3 linked regions of the Tamandua tetradactyla genome follow. The main gene of each other region encodes a partner of the protein of the gene in region 3 in a complex. Links are inferred from orthologs where the notes say so. Each region holds a gene or a part of one and is shown on either strand. Other genes may lie near its edges.

Region 1 (8,296 bases), on a different chromosome or scaffold from region 3:
GACAGCAGGGGCAGGGCTGTGCCCAGCAGGCGAAAGCACAGGTAGCTAAGGGGCGTGGGACAGAGCCTGGTTAGAGTCCCCGGCTGCCCAGGTGGAACTCAGGACCACTGTCCCACTCCCGCTTCACAGCCAGGGAGAGGAGGGCCAGATGGGACATGGGCCGCGCGCACCTGGCCGGCCAGAACTGTTTCTTCAGCAGCCCTTGTTCCACCACTTCCTTCCAGAACCGCGGGAACTGGTCCTCCTGGAGTGCCAGGCGCAGCAGGTCCAGCGCCACGGAGGGCAGCTTGCGCTCCTTCTTCACAGAGGCGGCGGCCACCTTCAGCACGTTCACCAGCCTACAGAGGGGGGTGGTGGTGGTGGGGGGGTGTCAGGGTACCCACCTAACAGAGAAGGGCCACCCCCAGACGCCATGACAGCTCCAGAAGCCTCTGAGAGCCAACCCTCCCCACCTCTCACACAAACCTGGGAAGATTCTCATCTGAGAACAGGTTGACAGGTCCCAGCAGCTTCTCCAGCTTCGCAGGCACCTTCCGCCGGGCCAAGAGGAAGAGCTCCAGGTGCTCGGGGGAGCTGAGCACCACACTCAGGTCAGCCTTGAGGACCTTTGGCAGGATCTCCTGCAGTGTGGCCTCTGGGACCTGGGGGGTGGGGACAGCTCACGCACAGCACCTTTAGCCTCTCTACCTGCCAGGCTCCTGGGACAGTCCCTGGCACAGTCTGAGGTGGGACAGCCACCATATGCCTTGCTGTGCCTTGGAACCATCAAAGAGCACTTGCTAAAAAATTTCAAACTTCGAAGTCCCAGAAAGCTAGGTTTTTAATAAGCATCCAACGGAGGCTGATTACATTAGCCCAGGACCACCCTTTTGATAATTCCTCTGTTTTTGCTTTCAGAGAACCAGCCCCTTTCTTATCCAAAGAGTCTTAGCTAAGAACCAGTGGAAGAGCTGGGGTTGTACAGAAAACCCTGGCCTGGGCTGTGCCAGCCTCCTGCCCCTTTCTCAGCCTCCAGAGGGTCCAAGTACCAGCCTACTTCAGTTTCGCAGAGTGGTGCAGTCCCTACTCAAACTAGCAGCAACAACAAGCACATACGTAATCCTTGCCACGTGCCAGGCACTGTCCTAGAGCTGTGCTGTCAAATGTGGCAGCCACAGCCACAGGTGGTTACCGACTACTTCAATGTGATGAGACTGAATTGAAATCTGATGTAAGTGCAAACTGCATGCCGGATTCTGAAGACTCAGTATGACAAAAGGAGTGTAAAACGTATCAGTAAACTCTCTTTATGTTGATTACATGTTCAGATGTTAGACTTCTCAGACACAGTGGTTTACAAGAACCTGAAATGCATCAAGATTCATTGCCCATTTCCTTTTGCTTTTCTGATGCAGTTACTAGGAAATTTCAAACTACATATGTGGCTTGTCTTTTTCTCTCTATCAGACAGTGCCACTCTAGGGTGGCCTGACACATTCACTTCCTTAAGGTTTCTATATGGCGGTGGGGGGGAAGAGTTGCCCAAGGCCGTCTGGCCAGCGAGCCCGCACCTGGGAGAGGACGTCCACCAGCACCTTCTGGGGCTGCTCCTGCAGGTGGTTGTGGTGCTGGGCCAGGATCTGCAGCAGCTTCACCGACTTCATCAGTGCCTCCTGGTCCTGGCACCACACAGAGGAGCAGATGGTGTGAGCAGGGCATGCGACTACGCCCCGCCACTCCCAGGCCGGTCCTGGTGCCCCAGGTGAGAGACTCTCCCGGTCCCCAAATCTTACCTTCACCAGCCGGCCTGACTGAAAGAGCGCCAGCACCCCAAACAGGTTTGCGAAGAGAGCGGATCTCACTAGAGCCTAGAAAGGATCCCAGGCACTGGTGAGAAGTGCCCAAGTGCTCCCCAACCTCTGCTGTCATGAGCCCCACTCACCTTCTTCACCTTCCGCAGGCCATGGGCTTCTTCTAGCTGCTGCAGGACACCGCAGAGGGGGATGCTCTCGAAAGACTGTAACAGCTGCCAGGAGTGGTGACAGGAGGGAGAGAGGCTCAGGGAGCAGCCCAGCCATATCCCAGATCCTGGCCTCCTCCCCCTTCTCCCTTCAACTTCTGCCAAAAGGCCTTGGGTCCCTAATCCCACCCCCAAGGATGCCTCTGAAGCTGCATCCCACTAAGCAGTGAAAGATCACTGCTGCTCAAATGGGGCTGAACCTCATCTCCCTGCCCTCTAGATTGCTCGACACCCTGTCCCCAAAAGTCTGCTCTGGACTCCCCCCACAGCCTCCTTTATTGCCCTTCCACTCATCCAAGTTCCAGAGACGGCCTACGGCCAGCTGAGCGCCCACGAACCTTGCAGAAGTAAGGGAACTTACCTCAAAGTTCTCCATCCCCCCATGCACCCTGAACCTGCTCAACCTCCCACCCCACCTGCCTGGGCTTCTTAGCAGCCAAATCACAGCTGGCATCTTTTCTCTACACACACGTGGTGAACCTTTCCTCAGATAGGGTGGGTTCCTATCAACTCCATGCAGCCCTACAACCTCTTCCTCTGACACCCCTCTCTAGACAGCGGAGGCATCCGCCCCCTTCGGACCCCTCCACGCTGACTAGCATGGCTGGGCATCTTGCCACAGGCCAGGAGCCAGCACCTCACCTGTGCCAGAGCCAGGCTGTAGCAGGGCCGGGCGGTCTCTCGCCCGATCCCGAGGCCACTAATGAGGCGCTTCAGGGCGTATTTCATCTCAGATCCCTGCGGAGCCAACACAGACCTCGTGGCGGCGGGTGACACGAGTTAACCTGCCCTAGCTGAGCATCGCTCCTCAGCCCGCCCTTACTTTGGCTTCCCGTTTCGGGACCACGTACCAGCCCCAGCCAGCCCCCAAACTAGGGGTCCCACCGCCACCTCTTTACAGGGATCTTCGTGGCCCCCGGACCCAGGCCCCGCCACCATACCTCAGACCGGGTGCGCAGATACTCCAGCAGTTTCTCTGTGGCCTCAAGCCGCGTCTCCTGCTGCGGCTTCGCAATGTCCCAAAAGAAGTCCAAAAATTCGCGGCTATGCTGCAGCAAGTCATGGCGATCGGTAGGCCGGGCGCCGTTCTTCGTCGCCTCCCCGGGGGCCACGGGCTCAGCGACGTCCTGACTGTCCATCTCCGCCATGCTGCAAGAACACGTGGGCCCTGAAGCCTGCCTCTTCCAGGTCAGGTCCCGGCGCATGCGCGTTGACTGGGTCGCCGGGGAGAGGCGTGGCCAGGGGCGTGGCAATGGGCGTGGTCAGGGCGGACCAGGGGCGGGGCCAGAGGACGCGGGCTGCTCCGCGATAATACCTTCTTAGAGCAGTGTGGCAACCCTGACCTCTCCCTGGGACCCTCCTCTCCCCGGGCCCCTGAGGATCCTTCTCAGAAAACGAAAACACGCGAAGCAAATCGATCCTTCCCCGCGGGGCCCCTGTGCTTTGAAAACTGTTGAGCTGCTCCTGTGTGCTGCGCGCGGGGCTAAGAGATAGAAGCAAAGTTACTGCTTCCACGGGTCGGGGTGGGGGTGGTGATCACTGATTGACAAGTATCCAAGTAACATCTTAAAATGATACTTAGTATGAAGAAGTGAAAGTACAGACACACAGGTCAGAGGGAGGCTTTGCAGTTTGGAAACGCCTGAATGCGTCATCGATTAAAAACATTGCAATTAAAAAGAAAGTGGAATAGGTTCGACGAGGCTGATTTGAGGGCACGAGGAGGGGGCACCTGTGCAGGGAGAGCTGCAGGACGAGAAAGAGCCCCTGCCCGAAGATCTAAGAGGGACGAGAAGCTCAGGGAAGGAGGGCACTGCAGCTACCCGGGCCTCAAAGCTGGGGCAAAGGATCAGGGAAGCCAGATCCCGTGGGGCCCCAGGCCAGGAGCAGGAGTTTGGGTTTTATTCTGAGTGTGATGGAAAGTCAGCAGAGGGTTTTACAAGAGGCAAGCCTGGATCAGATTTGCATTTTAAAAAGATTATTTTGGCTGCTGGGGTGGGCGTTGGATTGTAGGAGTGTAATGATAGACACAGGGAGACCAGTTAGAGACTCTAGTGTTTAGGGCGAGGGTAGTGCCGGCCCAGGTGAGATTCCGGCCAATTAGGAGCTGATCAGGGTGGGTGATGGATTGGATGTGGGAATAGAGGAAGAGAGAGGCTTAGAGCCAAAATAACTGGGTAGATTGTGCTACTATATTGAGCTGGGGAGGACTTATTGGGGGAGGGAAGAGATGGTGGGATGAAGGGTTCGATTAAATCAGAGATGCATTTTACAACTTGTGGGGAGGGGGTGGGGGTGGGAGAGGGTAGACAGGCTTCTACTGGCTAGTCCTGCTTTTTGGCCTGAGAAACTGTCTCTGGAATTGTGGTCCCAAGTGGCCCCAGCCCTAAGGGGAAAGATCAGAGTTGGCTGCAGCCTTTAGGTTCTACATGCCCAGCTCCAGCCCCTTTTGCTCCCAGGCCCCTGGGACACCTCCTCATCACCCTCTCAACTCTTTCCTTGCCCTCCTGTCTGTTTTCAAAAGTGAAAGGAAGAGGTTTACTGTGCCCATAGTGTGCCTTAGGAGACAGAAGGTGAAGGGAGCCGGGGGGGGGGGGGGGCTGAAAGACAGCAACTCAGACTGTGCCCCTTTCTGGGGGGGTTGGTCTCCGTGCTGCCCAGGGGTGAAGCCCTGACCTAGGTGCTTCAAAGACTGATGTGAAATTAGCCAAGAGGCAGGAATGGTACTTGGCGTTTAGGAGATTCGATCTTTATTTTGTTTCCTGTCCAGTCACGAGAGATCAGCAGAGGGTGGCCCCGGTGTCCAGAAGAAAATACCATGGAAACAGTGGAGAGAGTTGGCCCAGAGAGTCCCAAAGGGGAGGGCGGAGATGCCAGCAGCACTCCAGGATCCACCTGCTCTGCTGGACAGGGCCCAGAGGCTTAGCACTCTCCTACCTGGTCTTCCTAGAACCGAGTTCCCAGGCTCTGTTAACCTCAGAGCCTCCTAAGCTGCAAGAGGAGCCAAAAAATCCATCCAGGAGGGGTGCTTTGAAGATCCGCTGAGCTAGCCCTAGACGTCTAGGTAATTGACAAGGCCTGGAATTGGGGGCCACTGACCAGATCAAGAGTCACTAACCAGGCCAGAGGTTGGGGGCCTAAGCCCATAGTACCATGTAACAGATGTGCACGCATTGCTGCTGGGCTTGCTGTGCCCCAGGCTTGAGGCATCCCTACCCATCGCCAGACCCTCCTCCTGTTAGAACCCCTGGAAGGGACAGCAGCCATGGGGGACGCTGGAGACATGAGCATGCTCAGCGTGGACCGCCACTTGCAGCAGGGTGCCTTGGCCACAAATGCTGGGGCTCTCCGTTGGTTCCTGCTGGGACCGGAGCACTGCCAGGTGTCTGAGCAAAGTACTAGCCATGGTTCTGGCCGCCACAGGGATCCCTGAAGCCACCAGCCCCAGCACGTCCGCCTCTGTGTCATCCGGGCTGCCATGGAGAATGAGGGGACAGGCCCAGGCATTTGCTGCAGGCCCGGCCACCAGGTTGCTGAGCAGAACCCCAGTGCTGGGGGACAGGTGTCTGGAGCCGAAGGAGCTGTTGAGCGAGGAGGTGAGAAGGAGCACAGAGCCATTGCTGTCCACGGCGGCCAGGACGCTGCTCATGGGAGTCCCAGCAGCTTGTGGGAGCGGTGGGCAGGGGGCAGGGCTAGGCGTCCCGGAGCCTAGGGCTGCCTCCAACAGAGCCAGCAGTTCTGGGCCAGCCGAGGGGCTGGGGGTGGTGAACAGAACACCCTGGGCCATAGGCAGCTGCAGCGCTGGCTCCAAGGTGGGCATGGGGCCCGCTGAGGGCACCTCCAGCCCCAGGTCACTGGCCACCAGACCCAGGAGTGCATTGCTGGATGGATCTGGGGTGCGGGTGAGGGTTGTGTTGCGTAGCACTGCTGCCAGTCTTGGGTTGGTTGCCCAGGTCCCTACACCCAGGGGTGTCCCATCAGCGTGGCAAAGCAGTGGGCAGAGGCCCTTTGTGTCCTGGGCTGCCAGCGCCCTTGCCAGGGATGCATCCACCAGGAAGCCCTGTTGGGCCAGCGTGGTGGGGCCTTCCAGCAGCTGTGGCCAGGGCAGGCAGCCGAAGTGTGCGTGCAGCAGTTGCAGGGCAGGCAGAGCCGCAGGCAGCCCCACGCCGGGGACCAGGGTCTGGGCCAGGCCTGGGGTCAGGGCAGTGGCGTTGCCTGAGGAGCCGTTGTGGAAGAGGCCCCAGAACCTGGCACCTGAGGGCGGGGGTGGGGGGGTGGAAACAAAGGGGTCACGCAGGGGTCAGGAGCACTGGCCAGGACTGGGGTCACCGTCCCTTAGCAACCCCAAGTGAAAGGTCACTGACTTGTTTGAGGTTGAGCTTCCCAACTGGGCCTGAGGTCAGGGGTCAATGACCAGTCCTGGGGCCAAGAATGAATATACTTAGGGTCAAAGGTCACAGTCTAGGGGTCATTATCATTTGCCCAAATCCTAGGTCCTGCTCACTAACCAGCCCCGAGGTCAGGGCCACTGACTGTGCTCACATTCCAAGTCACCGAGAAGACCGAGGGTTGGGGTCGCTTTCTGGGGACGCAGGTCACTGACCTAACCCCGTGGCATGAGGATGCACCACCGCGAGGCACAGGGCTGCTCCGACTCCAGCGTCCACCACATTGCCCCCGGCAACGAGCAGCTCTCGGCCCAGGCGGGAGCACACGGCTGCAGCAAGGAAGCGACTGTCACCGGAAGGGACTAGGGACCCGGGACCCCTGCCCCTCCCAGGTCCCGGGCCGCCGCGAGCTCTGACCTGCCGGGCTGATGACGGCCCCGTGGTGGAACACGCTGGGGTGGTGGGAGTGGCCGCTGGGCCAGGGGGCCGCGGAGTCCAACCCCCCTGCAGAGCCGCCCCTGGTGTGGAGTTTGCTCAGGGCCAAGGAGATGCCGACGGCCAGCAGCAGCAGGGCAGCGACTAGTCGGGCCCAGGCCCCAGGCAGGCCACCACCCTGCTTCCTGCAGGGTTGGGTGTCCTGAGCCAGCATCCCTGAGGGGCACCCCAGAGAGCCCCAAGAGAACCAGGGACTGTTTCCCAAAGGGATCTGGTCTTGCGAGAGGGGTCACGTTTGCCAGAGAGAAAGGGTTTCCGGGCAGAGGGTACAGTAGGGACAATGACATGGAGATGGGAAAGAGCTTGGAGGAGCTGAGGATAGCTAGAGAAGGCGCATCTAGGAAGGGGGTTGGAGAGGCAGGATCGGGTTAACTGGGAGAGGGGCCTGAGTGGGGGTTGATACGGGAGAAGAGGCTGAGGAGATGTGCCTTGCCAAGCCGGGCCAGCCAGGTGCAGCCAGGTTCCAACCTGTTCAGCAGGTGCCACCTGCCCCAGGGGGTGGGGGCTGGGACAGAGCAGCCGGCAGGGGCTAGCTTGGTACCAGTACCCCTTGAGGTTCACTTATCTTTGGCTGACCGGCCCAGGCCAGGACTGGGGTGGCAACCCCACCCCCATTTCAACCAGAAAGTTCCTGGGGCTGAGCCAGGCATGGGGGGTTGTCGGTCCCCCTTAGGGGCTCCAGAGAGAGGGACCTGCCAACTCAGATCTCAGATCTGAGGAGCTGGGCACCCAGACCCCTCCCAGACTCACGCTGAGGACTCCTGGGGCTCCCCGGGGTGTAGAACCAGCAGTTCTGCTGTCTCCTCCTCTTCCTCTTCAGACTCCAAATCCGGCTCCAGGAGCTGAAGCTTCTGGTACAGCATGGGGCCTGCTGCAGATTCCATGGGCCCCCGGCGCCCTCCCAGCCCTCTCGGCTGCCACCCTGCCTGGCTGAGTCTTGGGAGGCCCTGCCCAGCTGAAGGGTGGGAGGGAGGTGGAGGCGGCCTTGGGGAAGGGTGGCGGAGCCTAGAACAGGTCTGGGCAGGGCGCGGGAGCAGGCAGCACACTTGTGAGGCTGCCCTTTTCGGGCCTGGGCTCCAGGGGCTCTCACAGCACGGTTCCCAGAGTGGGTCCCTGTGACGGGGAGCCCAGCCCAGGACACCTGCTGGCCCCCTCCCCTTGGAGCAGGTGGCCCCTGGCGTCCCCCATACCAGCCCGGGACTCTGGTGTGGGGACAGTGCAGTTTAAGTTAGCCCTACAGTTTCTTTGTAGCACATCACGTGACTAGGTTCAGGTTGGGGTGTGTGTCTGGGCTTGGACTAGGGTCAAGGTTCAGTCTGAATGCTGGGTTTCCCCCATCTAGAGAGCAATTTCTGGGTGGACCAAGGCCTGTCATACAGCTTCCTGTCCAGCAGGTGGCGTCACAGACCTCTTT
Region 2 (7,635 bases), on a different chromosome or scaffold from region 3:
AGCCTCTCAAGAATATCAACTAGTTCCATCACCCTATCCCATATTATCGACAGCCCTTCCAACATGAAACAGTTAGAAGGGGCATAGACCACATATCCCTAAGGTGTGGGATAAAAATCAAAGGTGATAGTGGAGTTATACAGAGAAGGTAGAACTGAACAAATGAGCATGATTTCTGATTCATTATATTGATTTTCGTTTAGTCTCCAGTATCTTAGAGTAGTTAGAGATAAAAACCTAAAATGGTGGAATTGTAACCCATACCAAACTCTGCAATCTGTTGTACAATTAATTGTGGCAATGTGCTTTGAAATTTATAGCTTTTTTGTATATATGTTATTGTTCACAAAAAAGAAGGAAAAAAAGTCGATTGTGATGATAAAAAGTATTTAAGCCCTCTAGCTTCCTGTATTCTGTAGCAGCTAGAATATGAGAGGATTGTATGGTAGCCTATGACAAACTCTGGGATCTACCCTGTAACCACTTTTTGAAGAGTGCTTTGAAAACTATTGCTTTTTTATTTCTTTGCTTTATATATATCTTATACTATGCAATAAAAAAAAGTTAAAAAAATTCTTAATAATGAGCACAACATAGGTACTGACTTCATCAAAATGGAAGTGAAGTGTTGGAATAGGATTCTGGTACATCAGTATTAAATGTGCTGTTGCTGAGAGCTGTCAGAGAGAGACTAGGGTAGTTAATGTGGCAAGAGTGAATTTAGGATCAAGGCAGGGTCTACTCTGCAACTGGCAGTAAGTTCAGTATTTCAGTATTTTAACAACTGGTACAGCCTTCCTATTCTACACCAGTGGAATATCAGCCCTTGGTATGCAAGACATCAAACCACACAACACAATTCCTGACCTTTGTGTCAAATAACTATACCATGAGGTGTAATGAGAAATTAATCTTCATTACGCTTTTAAGTGAAAACTATAGACTAGACATAACTCTTAAGAGGTGGTCAGTAAGACACTTCTAAAGTTACCATCATCAATGAAGCAAATTCTATTTATTGCAACACAGAAGTCAGTTATCATCAAGACAAAGAACCAGAAAATAGGTTTATATTGAGACTTTTATTTTTATATGTTTTCTTATTAAACTCTCTTGAAGGTTCCTAATCCTTTTGATACATAGGTTTTTTCACTACATACAACATACATTGGCACACCTCCAGATGTATCAACACTTTTCAAAGTGCGTTTAAAGCAAAGGGAAATAAATTTGCTCATTCTCTGACAAGGAATTCCCTGAATTGACTCTATAATTCAATTCAGTGTGCACATAGGGCAGACCATGGTGGCTCAGCAGGCAGAGTTCTCACCTGCCATGTGCAAAACGTGGGTTCAATTCCCCGTGCCTGCCCAAGCGGAAAAAAAGAATACATAACTCAGTTTAATTCATTTTTACTGAGCTTATATCACTTCAAAAAAACCAAAAACAGAAACGAAAAATCGTGCACAAATGCAATGATAATGCGTGGGGAGACATAAATAAATATAAATTGGTCTACTGTAAGGCACACTGCTACCATTGTGATTTGAGAATATCTCCACAGAATTAGTTTGACCTTCATACAGAGGGAATCATACAGCACCTATTCTTTGAGTTTGCCTTCTTCAATTGTACGAGTTTTTGAGATTCAGTCATACTGCTGTGTGTCAGTAATGTGTATCAGTATCAGCAGCAGTCTATTATAAGAATATATCACAATTCTTTTATCCATTCTTTTGCTGATGAACATTTGGGTTGGTTTCAATTTAATCTGTTCATTAATTCTGACTGAGCAAATAGTCTTTTTTTCCCCTTAAGATGTGAAATTTGAACTGTTAACATTTTTCTTATAAACAAAGTCAGACTAAGCGTAGATAATTTAGTGCTTATTTAAAGACCTCTTTCTTCGCAGTAGAAATGAATCAATTACATGTCAAAAAAAAAAAGCTACTTTTTTCTACCTTTACATTCTTTTTAGGTATATTTAACTCAGTTACTTAACTGCATAAATTTGGATTATGCTCTTATAACCCACAACCTCTCAACCCAGAAAGGCAAGAGATGTTGGCATTATGGTTCTTGTTTATCTTCTTTTCAAGAACAGACTTAATCATGGCATGATTTAAACCCTGCTTTGTAGTAAAACATCTCCTACCTTTTAGGTGGATATAACTTTCAGATGCCCAAGAACTATGTTTCCATGCTAATCACAATCAGAAAAAGCAGAAACTCTAACCTTATTCATCAGTCTTTCTTTGAGTAAGTGTGAATACTGAGAGAAAAAACACACAATAGCATAATGCATTTTTTTGCTTTTTAAAAATGTAATTTTACAACCTCATGGGAGAGTGGGAGGGTGGGTAAGGGGTCACAAAATACCATAAATCTTTTGAGTATGAAGAGTCTCTCTACAGAAATTCCTTCACAAAAATATTTTTAGTATTGTACACCCAGGTTTTATTTAAGTAAGCCTATATGTAAGCCAAATTTATTTTTAATTTTTTTTATTTTTTTATTATTTTTTACATGGGCAGGCACCGGGAATAGAACCCGGGTCCTCTGGCATCGTAGGCAAGCATTCCTGCCTGCTGAGCCACCGTGGCCCACCCAAACCAAATAATTTTAACTATATGAAGGTCTGTTTTGTATGGTTTTTTTTGTGTGTGTGTGTTCTGCAAAATTGTTGTTAATATTTTCTGGATCAGACTTTTCTTAAACTAGGGTCCTTCAGGTCACCAGGCTCTAGGGACATATATTCAGCAGTCAGAAGAGTTCTACAAAAATGTTTTAATTTAGTTTTGTTTTCATTTCAGTGATTGCTTAAAAACACTATTTTATCACTCACTAAATGAAAATTCCCCTTTGCAATAGAAATTCACAACCATAAGACATTTTCCCTAAGTAAGATTTTAATTTCTTACATCAATATTCTTAAACTGTAATTTTCAAGATTATTTGCCAAATTTCAAAAAAAATGTTTTTTTGTCCTTTAAAAGGGATTTGTATATTATGAATTTGTATATAGTTTATGAATCACTAGTCTAGGTAACATATTCCTCTAAGAATAAATTGTCAGGAAGAACCTTTTCCTTCCATGATAAACGCTTTATTTCTTTAGATAATGAGAATGACATAGCCCACTATGGTTTTTCCCTCTTTTGCTTTTGTTATATGGAAATGCAGACCAAAATTCAATGTTTAATTGTAGTAACCATGGTCCTTTTTATTGATACAATTATTTCCTTACATAATTTTTTATCTTTCTTTACTTACAAATTATCCTAGTGTACATGGTTTGTATTGACCCTTGCTTCAAATTATTTTATTATTTATTTTATGTAAGTTTTAAATGCAGTCTGGAGATTTTGTCTAAAGGAAACTTTAATCCAAATAAATACAGCTGGTTTCAATCTACGTTGTAAGAACTCTTAAATAATAGCAACTAACGTTTTTTAAAGTACTTACAATGTGCCGAGGCATTGTGCTCTTTATCTCAACCTTTACGAAAAAATTTGTAAAATTATCTAGTAAAACCTAATGATGTAGATAGCATTATCATCCTATTTACAGAAATTCATAGACATTAAGAATTTTGCACAATGTCATAAAGTTGTCCTATCAGGACTCAAGTTGTGGCTGAATCCAAAGCTCAGCTCCTAATCACTATGTATATTGTCTCCCAAGTTGCATATTCTGTTCTGAATTATTAGCGGTTGGTGGTTTTTCTCCTGGGGTTGCGGAAGAATGTTCACGCTCCTCATAACGAAATGAACTCTGTCCTCTAACAAACATTTTTCTTTTCAAGTCTCCTACAATGCTCACACCCCTTCAGTGGAAGCCTATACCACTCACAGACTCTCATCTTCAACAGGAATCCGTTCCCTCGGACCCTGGTGACCCCAGCATTGCCCCATACCCTCAGACCCTGTCTTCTTCTCGCAAAGTTGAGACTCTTGTACCCCCCCAAAAAGAGCAATCCCACCAGTAAACTTTAGCAGAGACCTCTCCTGGCAAAGGTCCCATCTTATCCCCTTATTATGGTTACCTCTACCTCTCTCCCAACCTCCTCCCAGAAGCGTGCCATTTTTTCCCCTATTCTCTTTTTCTGCTTTTTATTCACTTTCCCCATCATCTTCTGGCCTAGTCCATTTCCCAGAGTCCCCTCAAAACTCACCTAACAACTTCTCTCAAAAGAGCAGCGTTCTTAAATGCCTGCGCCCATTACCGCGCACCACAACTTGTTTGATCGCTCACTGCCAGGTGCTGCCCCATCCCCCTCGCCCCGCCCCCGCCCCGTGAGTCTCTCTGCCAGCCATCACCCGAAACACCGCCCCCGCCTATCTATTGGTTATCCTTCTTAAAGAGTCCCGCCTCCCCCCCTCCAGCCCGCCTCCCACCCCGCTTTCCTTGTTTTCATTCCCCCTGTCACACGAGGCCGTGGCGAATCCGAAGTGGGAGGGGCGAACTAGAGGGAGGGAAGGAGGCCGAATGAGGGCGGAAAGTGAATCGCTCAGAGTGCCTCTCTTTCCCCCGTCTGAGTCCGTTCTCGACTGCTCCGGGCCGCCGTTGTATTGTGGGATTGCGGCGCCGTGCTTGAGACGCTCGGATCCACAAGGAAGCTAACTCGACAGCGCCTCCTGTCGTTCGTAAGGCTGCGCCACCATTCCTCGGCACCCCAACTCCCCCTACCCCCCATCGCCTCCTCCTCCATCCTCCAGTTCAAAATGGCGGCGGCGGCGGCAGCGGCAGCGGCGGTGGCGGCGATGGCTCCTCCGGGCTGCCCCGGTTCATGTCCCAACTTCGCCGTAGTCTGCTCCTTCTTGGAGCGCTACGGACCGCTGCTCGACTTGCCTGAGTTGCCTTTCCCGGAGCTGGAGCGGGTATTGCAGGCGCCGCCGCCGGACGTGGGCAACGGAGAAGGTAAGCTAGGGGCCCGAACGCCCGGCGGGAAGCGGCCCTGGCGCGCTCCTACTCTCAGATCTTCACGGACACCTCGGGCCTCCGCGGTTCTGTTCTTTCCCTGGGACGCAGTTCCGCCGAGCTCGTCTTCTCCGCCCTGCCGCCGGAGTCCTGGGCTGAGGGGAGGCGGGGCGGGGGCCCCCCTTAGGGCCAGCCGGCCAAGCGGGGAGCGGAGGTGGGGGCGTCGCGGGCTAGGTGTTGACTGGGGACGGGGAGAGGTCATTGTGCTTGTCTTTTGCCCCTCGGACCGCTCTGCCGCGGCGGGGGCCTGTTCCCCACCCCTTCTCCCTTTGGGTGGCGGGGGAAGGGGAGCGCAGGTTCCGGCCAGCTTTGCGCTTTTCTCCTCCTCCCCTCCTTTCAACCTCCCCTCCTCCCACCATCCTCTCCACCATCTCGGGGGAGGCTGGGCCCATCTCGTCGGAGCGCCTACTCCTTTCCTCCACCTGGGTGGGCGGAGGCCAGCGGACACTCCAACTCTCCCTCCCACTGGTGGGAACTCCCCCGAGAGAGTGCTCTAGTCCCTCTTCCCCTGTCTTGAAGGGCGGATTTAACCCCCCAAACTCCTTCCGAGTAGGGAGGTCTGCTCCTCCCCTTAGGGAGAGTATTCTCCATCCTCGCTGTGGGGGGCAAAGTAGGTTCAGCTTCTCCACTTTGGAGAGAGGATTAATTCCTTCACCCACCCCCATAGTTTTCCTTCTCTCTCTCCCCACCTTCCCCCAAATAATAGAAAAGGATCTCTCTACTTTTTCCACTCCCTTCCCCCTTCATCTTGGCTGTAGGGCTTAAGGGAAGAAGAAGTCGCCCTCCCATTTACGGGGTGGGGTGGTTTGTATGTAGGCTGGAGGAGGGGCTCAGACAGAGGGGAGAAACAGTTGAAGAAGGTGCTTGTTGCTCTTGTTTCTCTCTCTGGTGCCGCTGGTCTATTATTGGTGTTAGCAAGTGGTGCTCCTTCCACATAAGGCCACCGCGCGGGTGCAGGGCGCATGCTCTGCACGGCCCCATTGAAACTTCCTGCTGCTGCTGGTAATTCTGCTGGAGCATCTCAGCGCTGAGCCTGCTGCCTCCAGCCCTCACACAGCACATACACTCACCCTCTATTCCCAATTCAAGCCTTCCGTTTTCTAGAACATTTCTTCCCTCAGAGAAGGGCTTTTTGTTGTACTCACCTTAGCATTGCCTTTATCTGGGAAAAGCCTTTGACTGGAGAAGAAACATTTTCCAAACAGGTCTTTTTTTTCATTTTGTGTGTGTCTGTATTCGGTCGCAAAGTGGGCTGAGTATTGTACACGACAGATAGCTGTTTCCTTCCAAGAAAGCAGGGTCGTTCTTCTATTCTCTATGGAAATGAAGACGTTTCTGTTAATATATTTACATTGCTAGAAAATGCCCAAGTATGAAGTTCTTAAAAATATTACCTAGAGAGAATAAGAAATTACAGCAACCAAAGTTTCAAATTAGTACAGCAGTTAGAGTATAGGCCTTATCCCTTCTTTTCCAAATCCCCTCCACCCTTAACAAATCCTGGTATATAAAAGACTAATTTTTTGAATGGTGTAAACTAGGGAGGTGATAAAATGCATTATATAAAAACTTCCTGCAGAATTTCTTTAGAAATTAAGCGTCCTAACGTAATTTCGTGAATGAATTGCATTTGCATTAGTTTTTAAGGAAAAAGTCATTGTGAGGTAGACCTTAGTAAGTTGCTGTTAGAATACCTTGGGAAATGATAGTAATGTATTTACCAAAGAGACAAATGTGGGAATTGGGGATGGAAGGATTGCTGGTAAGTTGGTTTTAGAATTTTGGATCAAGTTGAAAGACAGGCATAGCCTTTCTGTGATGGCATTGTATTTGGGGTGGTACCAAGGTTGCTTGCCCCCCCTCCATTCCTTTTAATATTTTGCCCACTGAGTTTGGTTTATATTAGTACTGGAAGAAAAAAATGTGAAGGCTAGTTTAATATTTTTCCTTAAAAAGAAAATTTAATACCCTTCTTTAAAACCTTTCATATTTTTTATTTGGAGTTGAATAACCACTCACCAGTGGTCCACTAGGTGAGTACAGTGTGGGAAATAATCTGGGTTAAAGGTATCATATAGCTCAGTCATCCATTACCATTTACAAAGAAGACTGATAAAAATGGTTCCTTTTATGAGGTGATCTAAGAATAATTATTAATGTTAAACCATTCAAGATACTTGGTGGATGAAAAAAATCTCTGCAAGTGAAATGCTGTTACTGTACAGGAAAAAAATTCTCAGCCCTTGATGTTGGTCAACCTGCTTGTAATAGTTGTTTAAACAATACTGGTCCCATTGACAAGATTTGAGCAGTCTTTTTGGAAAGATGTGGTATACCAGAAAGAGTTAGAAGTACGGATTTTATCATTGATCTGTAGGTTGTAGAGTAAATCACTAAACTTCTATGGACCTCAATTTCTTCAGTAAATAGAATATCCAAGGGTCAAATGAAATAATGTTAAAAAATCCTTTCATAAACCAAGCATTTAGAAATATTCTTGTCTTACAAATTTTATTAAGATGCCTGCAGATAAAAGGCACATAAGTGCATTTGGAACCAAAATTTTTAGCACATTGTGAGTATTGAAGCTTGAACACAATATTGACCTTTTATGCTCTTGAGAGCAAAGTTGCTTATAATCAAATAGGTTTTGCT
Region 3 (7,887 bases):
AAAAAAAAAGTTTTTCCAACATTCATTATTTCTCATAGTAAAAAAGAAAATTGGACACCAGGCCTCTCGAGGCCATACCATTACAGGCATTTAGTGTGCCTATCTACCAGTCCAGTCAATAGTGAGCAATCAGGATGAATGAAGACAGGCTCCACATTAACAAGATCATATTAATTAATAAAAAAGTAAGACTGCTCTCTTGACTATCAGTACCAAACCAAACAAAACAAAAAAAAAATTATTGAATTAGCTAGCAAGGCTGATACTTCCAGGAAAGTTAGCTTTGTCACAAAAAAAGCTCATGAAAACAGAGCTTCATTTATTTCCTGATTTCAGAAAAAAGGACCTTAAAACCTATTTTAAGACAAAATAAAAAGGTTTGTAAAAATGTTTCTTTTTTTTTTAAATCTATCCTCAGATAATGTGTGTATGCTCAAACCCTTTCGTGTAAGACTGAGGGTACATTTAATTTAGAAAGATGAAAGACACCATAATGTGACAGAAAAAAAAAAAAAAAATCTAGTCAATGAAAAGATAGATTGAGAAAAGATAAAATTACTGATATTTTCATACTGAGAAGGTAAAAAAAAAAAACCCAGGCAGGCCACGGTGGCTCAGTGGTAGAGTTCTCGCCTGCCATGGCGGAGACTGGGGTGTGATTCCCAGTGTTTGCCCATGTAAAAAAAAAAAAACTAAAACCGTGTCATTCTGCAGTAAATGAAATTGCTAAACATCATTTGTATAAGAATGTGACACGGAAAGATGTGGGGAAAAACAATCAGCTTTGAAGTCAGGCCTGGGTTCACTTACAGGTTCTAGTTAAAAAAGACTCAGTTTCTTCATCTGGCAAACACGACTCCACACAGCAACTGTTGTTATCATCATACCAAACACCTATTTAAAATTTAATTAAGCTTTAATTTTAAAACAGCAAATCAAAGCCACAATAATTAGCTTTAAATTACACTGCTTTCTGATATTTAAGACCTCTAGTGAAACATTTTTACATTATTCCAAGGCTGAATGAGGGACTTTTTCGAGAAGCTGATGAAAACTATGAATATCTTTTCGAACATCTCTTCGCAGAGAGTTGCACATTCACACACAATTTTGCTTTCAGTATCACATTTTTTAAGCCCTCTTACCCATGGGGCAGTAACCTAAGTTAAATAGCCCTAGTAACCCAAAAGAACCACAAACCTTAAGGGAAAAAAGGCAATAGCAGATACATTTTTATTTTAAATTAATGTCAATCACTGAAAACTACGTAACATTAGATCTCCTATTCCACTGAAACTCATCCTCAACACTAAAAGTACTTTCAAAGATTAATAACAAAAGATGTTATATCACCCTAGATTAGATCCTTGCTGCTCAAATAAAACTACTGGCCAAGTGCCTTCTTGGTAAACTGTGCTACCATTTTCTCAGCCTGCTGATTCTGCATCAAAATTTTCATAGCAACACTAACTTCATTTCGTCTAAGAATGGAAAAATCACAGATAATCTTTGAGCTGAATATCGAAAATATCTCAAAACAGGTTGAAGACCACGAACAAAAACTGGAAGGGCCAATCACTGTTCCCAACCATAGAAAAACCTTGAAGCATCTCCCAGAGAACCACCTAGTAGCAACACTGTCTTTCCACCCCCACAGTACAGTCGTCACCCACCTGAGCAACCCAATCCCACAGGGTGCAGTGCGCTGTACTAATTAAAGACAAAAAAAAAAAAAATGTCAAGGCCCAGAAAGACGTACGCTGGATGGAAAGCCAAATAACGGACCTTAATTCACTAATTCATTCATCAACTCCCACCGAAAATTAGACAGCGATCCCAAGACAGCAGCTGCTGCTGCCTTGGCCACATCCCTCCCGGCGGAAAAGGGCCTGGGAGGGACCTCGTGTCACTTCAGAGGAGCAGCTGTGTCCCGTTTATCCCCACTGCGCAGAGGGCCATCCAGCCCTCGCCATTGTTTCTTTACGAACAGATACCGCCCCCGCAAGGACTGGATGAAAGAGGCCCGAGAGCTCGCATGCGCTGCTTTTAAATGCCTTCCATTCAGAAACAGTCTTTCCCTCACTTTTAAGGGGCACCTCCCTCGCTCCTCCCCCAAGTTTGGTGGAAACTAAATCCTACATTCAAGGATGGGCAGGGGAATTATGGGAGTCTAATGGGGCTACAACACGGGTGGGTAACTCTCACTTGACCACAGTAATCAAGCACATCTGTTTAATAAGGGCATTAGAGGATTTGGCAAGATCTACTAAAAAAGACAATTATAATGTGAAGTGCCAAAAACCATCTGAATCTGCTTGGACAGGTGACAGAGCGTAATAACGAGAAAGCATCATTTCAGATACAAAAGGCCTAAGGCCGAATTTGGTGCAGAGGGGTGAAGTATGACTCTGTGTCTATCACTGAACTCAAGGCGAAGGAACCAGCTTCTCGCCACTGCCTTCCCGCCCTCTCTCGCGCTGCAAGCTGTTCCCACCTTCCTCACTCACCTCCATCTCCGCGTCGGCAGGACCTGCGCTGGCCACCAAGGGAGCCACCTGGGACACGACACCCTCCAGACAGCCTTTGTTGCTGTTGTTGCTCCCGCCGCTGGCGGCGGAGACTGTGGTCTTGGAAGGCGCGCTCTCGAGAGGCGGGGGTGGCGGAGGCTCGGCCGCGGACGACATGATGTTCCGTCTGCGTCACCCGCTGCTGCCAGAGGCCGGCCTGGCAGGGATGGAGGGAGAGGCCTAGGTAGGCCTGGGTGGCTACGTCGCAGTGAGCTGATGGAAGAGCAAGAACCCGATTTCCCGCCCCCCACCCCCACCCCCGCCGCGGCTCCGAAACGGGCCTGAGGCGGACGCAGCAGGTTCTTCCTCCGCGTCCTCCTCAGCGGCGCTCGGTGTTCGACGCGGGCTTACCTCACGGCGGGAATCTCGTCGGCGAGAATGGGCGGGGCCAGCCGGGTCACCAAGGTCAGGGGCTGATGTAGAGGAAGGCCGAAGGTTATGGAACCACGAAGGAAAGAGAAGAGAGACTGAAATGGGGTAGCAGCTTCGCCTCCTCCTCTAATACCTCTGGCGAATATCACCTAACTCACCAGAAACCAGGATCTACTACCTACGCCACCGACTTTCAACACTCGCGAGAGTGCTGGTTGGCTGACTGGGGCCCGGTTGCGCATGCGTGTTCCGTCCCTCACGCTTACCCACTCCTCCCGAATCTTAAGCATGCTCTGGAGCGCGGAGTGGGTGGGACCTCGAGGGAGACCAGAGAGGCTGGGAGAGATGTGAACCCAGGGTTTCTGTGTCGGCTACTCGGCATGACGTGAAAGCAGTTTTATACGTGTTCGTAACGGTTCACCGGCCTTGGATTCGCTGTCTTCTCGGCCTGGCCGGCGTCGGCGGCATTCCCTGAAGACTTGCCGACTTCGCGCTGTGTACTTGGAGGTCTGTCCTGGGCCTTAACGCTTTTGCCGCCTCCGACAAGCGCGTGACGTCACTGTGACGACGATACGGTTATCTTGAATGAAGTCTCTTTTTTTGTTGTGGTCTTGTTGTTGTTGGCGAAATGTCCGTTACAAAGGTATTTTTGGTTAGTCTTCACACATTAGCTGCATCAGTCATTTCTGAATACCCCCTACTTCCTTTTGGTGTAAGGGTATACGATTTTTCCTCTGAATTCCCATGCTAAAAGTAAGCAGATAAGTTGCGTGCGCACACCGTTAGGTGAGGAACATGCGTATCCAATAGAAGAAAACAGACGAGCGAAGGGTTGTATCTTTTCCTCATCACCAAACGTTTAATTAAAATGTGCATTCTCTTTTCCTTACAAAGTTGTGTTGAATTTTCGGCACTGTAATTCTTTGTGTAAACTGCTTTGTGCATCCACAAATGCCTAAAGGTTTGTGCATCCATCTATTATACAGAATTTAAGCACATTATGTTCTATTTGATAACAAAACTGCGTGATACGCTAGATTATTATCTGCCCTTTCAGGTGTCTTATTCATGTCCGTATCCCCGTGTCCACTGTTCACTCAGTATTTATTGGATAAAGAAGACAAAATTTTCAAGAGTTAAGGTTGAACCACCTGGTTGATTATGTTGAATTTCAAACAGAAGGATTTTCTTTTGAATATCCTGCAACCATTTTAGCTAATTGAACAATAATTCTTTGAGAGCTAAAAAAATGTCCTCAGCCCATCAAAAATGCCATTTCTGATTTTAAAACTATTGGGCATCCAAAACCGAATTGTTGGTCTTTAACAGCCATTGACATTGAAGAAGAATAGCGTTCATTAAACAGTGTTAACCGAAAAAAAAATCAAGTCAAAAATGTAGAAAAAGATGTAGATTAAAAGATTAGAAGGCTATGCGTAAAAGTATTCAAAATGATTGTCACTGGTATATTTTTTGAATTACTTTTTACTTGACTATGTTTTCTGATTTTTCTAAAATGAATTTGCATTATGATTGTATTGAGAAAACTCACTTTTAATTTTAAAAAATGTTAATTCAAAAAAAAAGTTTGTGAGGGGAGAATGAGAAAATAGTGTCTACGATGTTACCTGACACACAGACTTCAATTATTTGTTGAATAAGTACTTGTTTAATATTTACATTCTTATGTAAAAGGAATACAGTATTAATATTCAGAATATTTACTTAGTCTTTACAGTTGTCTTAGGTAAAAATCTTGGGTCCTGATTTGGAAACCCTAAAATTATACGTAAGTATTTAAATGAAAGGGTCTTAAGTGTGGTAACTTTTTAAGGAAACCAGTAAATAAAATTGCCCAAAAAGTGACAGTAGTTATTTAATATGTACATTAGTACTGTGGGTTTTTCATATGAGCATATGAACGCTGTAAAAGAATCTTGTTAGGGGAAATTATGGAGAACAAATACTTAAAAGAAACTAAGGAGAGGAGACAAAACATTGTAAATCACTAATCTAACATAAGGGACAGAGAAACAGATTTTGAGCAGAGCCTTAAATACAGAGACAGAGAGGGGAGAGGTCTACCAAAAAGAGAGAATGCCTAGAAATAGGATTTAGAAACATAAGCTGGGTTAGGCAGATAGCAGTACTTACATGGTGGTGAAATCACCATGTAGATTCTTCTAAAATTAAAAGGCTAAAGCTAAGAGCTAGTCCTGGAATTGACAGTATAATGTAGAATTTAATGTATGGTAAAAAGTAGAAAATGGGGAGTCAGGCTCTGGAACTTAGCAGCTGTGTGACTGCAGGCAAGTTATTCAGCATTTCTGAAATTAGTTTTCTCTTTCCTCAGATTGGAATAATATTCTTATAATGTTGTCATAAGGATTAAATTATGTAGTGCATGTAGGTGCTTAACACCGTGCCTGGCAGATAGTGTGTTATGATTTCAGGTGTGAGGTATTCTTATTCTGAAGAACCATAAACCTACAGATCAGGGCCTAGGTGGAGGAAGAGGAACTTAATGGCTTTTTGAAAGAAATAGAGGGGAATGATGGCAAGAAAACCCTAGAAAGAACTAGTGTTTTAACCATGTTCAAGGAACTGTGTACTACAATGTAAAACCATCTTAGTGTTCTCTCTCAAATATGCAGCATATATTGTTTACACATGAAACTCCTTCTATGAAGACCTCTTTTGTAGCTCAGATGTGGTCTCTCTCTCTCTCTAAGCCCAACTCTGCAAGTAAAATCATCCCTACTGCATGGAACATGACATCCAGGGGTGAAAGTCTCCCTGACAGTGTGGAATATGATTCCCAGGAATGAGACTGCCTTCCTGACCAAAAGGAGGGAAAGAATTGTAACAAATAAGGTATCAGTGGTCAAGACAGTACAAATCAAGAGGCCACTCTGGAGACTGCTCTTACGCAGGCTTCAGCTAGACATTGCTATTTATCATAGCGTGCCAAACCCCAATTAAAACCATCCCTGCCAACCATAAAGAACATCTAGGACTTTATCTGAGATTCTACAAAGGCTCCATGCGCTATAGTTACTTTCCAGAAATCTGCAGCCTCCAGATGGGTTCCTAAGCTAGAAAAGTCCTGAAACTCAGTGAGGCCATCGTCTCCAGAATATGAATTAATACCATCCGCCTAGCCCATATTATCAACAGCCCTTTCCAATATGAAAAAGTTAAAATGGGCATAGCCCAAATACCCCTAGAGATTGGGAGAAAGATCAAGGAGAAGTTGGAGTTACAACAGAGAAGATAGGATTTAACCAATGAATATGACTGCTGAATCATTATATTGATATTTCTTTTAGTCTCCAATGTCTTGGAGCAACTAGAAGGAAAAACCTAAAGTTGTAGAACCGTTACCCATACCCAACTCTGAAATCTGTTTTCTAACTAATTGTTGCAGTGTGCTTTAAAGTTTTCTGCTTTTTTGCATATGTGCTATTTTTCAGAATAAAAGTTTTAAAACATAGGGGTGCAAGGGTAGTTCGGTGGTAGAATTCTCACCTGCCATGCAGGAGACCTGGGTTTGATTCCAGGCTCATGCACTCCCGCCATACCCCCAAAAACAAAATTTCAGCGAATGGTGCTGCAATAACGTGATAGTCACATGGAAAAAGAATGAAATGTGACCCCTACCATACAGCATAAAAAAATTTTTTTAAACAAAATACCCTCTGTGAAACTTAGTATGTTAGAACAGCATGTGCAGTATTGAAATAGGATGTAACAAAGAGATGTTGCTGGAGGATAAAAGGTGCCAGATAGCCAGGAGCTTTTTGGTTTTGATCGGTAACAGAAACTTTAAGTTTCAAGGAAAAGGTAGTAGTGCTGCACTAATCTTCACTGCACACTCATTTTAGTTTGTAAAAGTCTAGGAAAATAAAGTCTGGTTATTACATGACAACAATAAAACAGCACTGGGTTTTTATCTAAGAATGGGAAATTACCAATGTTCTTAGATAATTGTGTGTGTATCCTTTCCTCACTTCTCCTGTATAGGTCATTTGCCAAATAATTTGGGGATTTACTTTCAGCTAACGAAAAACATTAACTATACTCTTAATAAATTAAGGTTAGTAAAGTTTAAATACATGCCCCTTACATTTGGTCAACTCACATCATGGTGTGATTTTGTACGTTAGGTTTATATACGCATATTTCACTACCTTTTAAATTTGTATTTTCCTCACTATAACTTAAAATTCCATTTCTTTGTGCATTTCATTACTGCTTGTTAAATACAATTTTTCTTTATCGAATTGGTTCTTGGGGAAATACTTCCAAAAAACCCAAATATTATGATCCAAAGTTGTAACTGCTCTGCCCAAAGCTTTATAGGTTAACTGACAATTATGAAGCAACTTTCTTTAATAAAACTCAAAGTAAATAAGAATCTAGCACTCAACTAACTGTAGCCAAAGCTACAATTAAGAAATTAATGGTTTCTTTGTACACAAATTTTGTTTGCTGTTACTTATAAAAATACAGAAATTGTAATTTAAAACTCATAATGAACATCTGGCTTCTAGTAATGGAAAAAATAGCTTGCTCCTATCAAATCATTGGATGGCAACTATGAACTCTAGAAAAATATTTTTAAAAACTACCTGGTGACAGTGAAAGCAAAGGGAAAAAAGTCATCAGAGATTGGAGGGGAATTTATACCTGGGGAAGAAAGTGACACTGGATGAGTTTCACCCTAACCAATACCATATTGAGAGGCTAAAACTTAGAAAACACTCTCACTTACTGGCTCTAAGAATTTGAAGATAGTTTGGGGGAATCACAGCAGCTGTAAAATAAAGAGAGATATCCACATAAGGGGAGAGACCTAAATTCTGTAAATAAACTGACCAAATCACTGACTGAAACCTGAAATAAGCAGATATGAGACAGACACCAAGCAACCCAGCTAAGATCAATA

What was found. Proteins that work in one complex are often made in the same cells at the same time.
Region 1: SMARCA5 (region 3) and MYBBP1A share a complex: the UniProt entries of both Homo sapiens proteins name them as parts of the B-WICH complex. The link is inferred for Tamandua tetradactyla from reciprocal best matches to the Homo sapiens genes SMARCA5 and MYBBP1A.
Region 2: SMARCA5 (region 3) and RSF1 share a complex: the UniProt entries of both Homo sapiens proteins name them as parts of the RSF-5 ISWI chromatin-remodeling complex. The link is inferred for Tamandua tetradactyla from reciprocal best matches to the Homo sapiens genes SMARCA5 and RSF1.

The regions. Positions count from the first base shown.
Region 1 is NC_135332.1:58,579,592-58,587,887, forward strand, and holds the start of MYBBP1A (myb-binding protein 1A), read right to left. Parts: upstream 3,200-8,296; 5' UTR 3,148-3,199; coding exon 2,941-3,147; intron 2,738-2,940; coding exon 2,642-2,737; intron 2,006-2,641; coding exon 1,922-2,005; intron 1,848-1,921; coding exon 1,773-1,847; intron 1,659-1,772; coding exon 1,551-1,658; intron 642-1,550; coding exon 466-641; intron 339-465; coding exon 171-338; intron 46-170; coding exon 1-45. Other genes in the region: GGT6 (glutathione hydrolase 6), read right to left, coding at 5,238-6,253, 6,603-6,716, 6,805-7,007, 7,633-7,766. UniProt on the Homo sapiens protein: May activate or repress transcription via interactions with sequence specific DNA-binding proteins. Repression may be mediated at least in part by histone deacetylase activity (HDAC activity).
Region 2 is NC_135334.1:66,955,290-66,962,924, forward strand, and holds the start of RSF1 (remodeling and spacing factor 1), read left to right. Parts: upstream 1-4,436; 5' UTR 4,437-4,724; coding exon 4,725-4,920; exon of another isoform or gene 4,921-4,980; intron 4,981-7,635. UniProt on the Homo sapiens protein: Regulatory subunit of the ATP-dependent RSF-1 and RSF-5 ISWI chromatin-remodeling complexes, which form ordered nucleosome arrays on chromatin and facilitate access to DNA during DNA-templated processes such as DNA replication, transcription, and repair.
Region 3 is NC_135348.1:24,143,633-24,151,519, forward strand, and holds the start of SMARCA5 (SWI/SNF-related matrix-associated actin-dependent regulator of chromatin subfamily A member 5), read right to left. Parts: upstream 3,463-7,887; 5' UTR 3,206-3,462; intron 3,183-3,205; exon of another isoform or gene 2,981-3,182; 5' UTR 2,919-2,980; intron 2,725-2,918; 5' UTR 2,685-2,724; coding exon 2,508-2,684; intron 834-2,507; exon of another isoform or gene 811-833; intron 1-810. UniProt on the Homo sapiens protein: ATPase that possesses intrinsic ATP-dependent nucleosome-remodeling activity.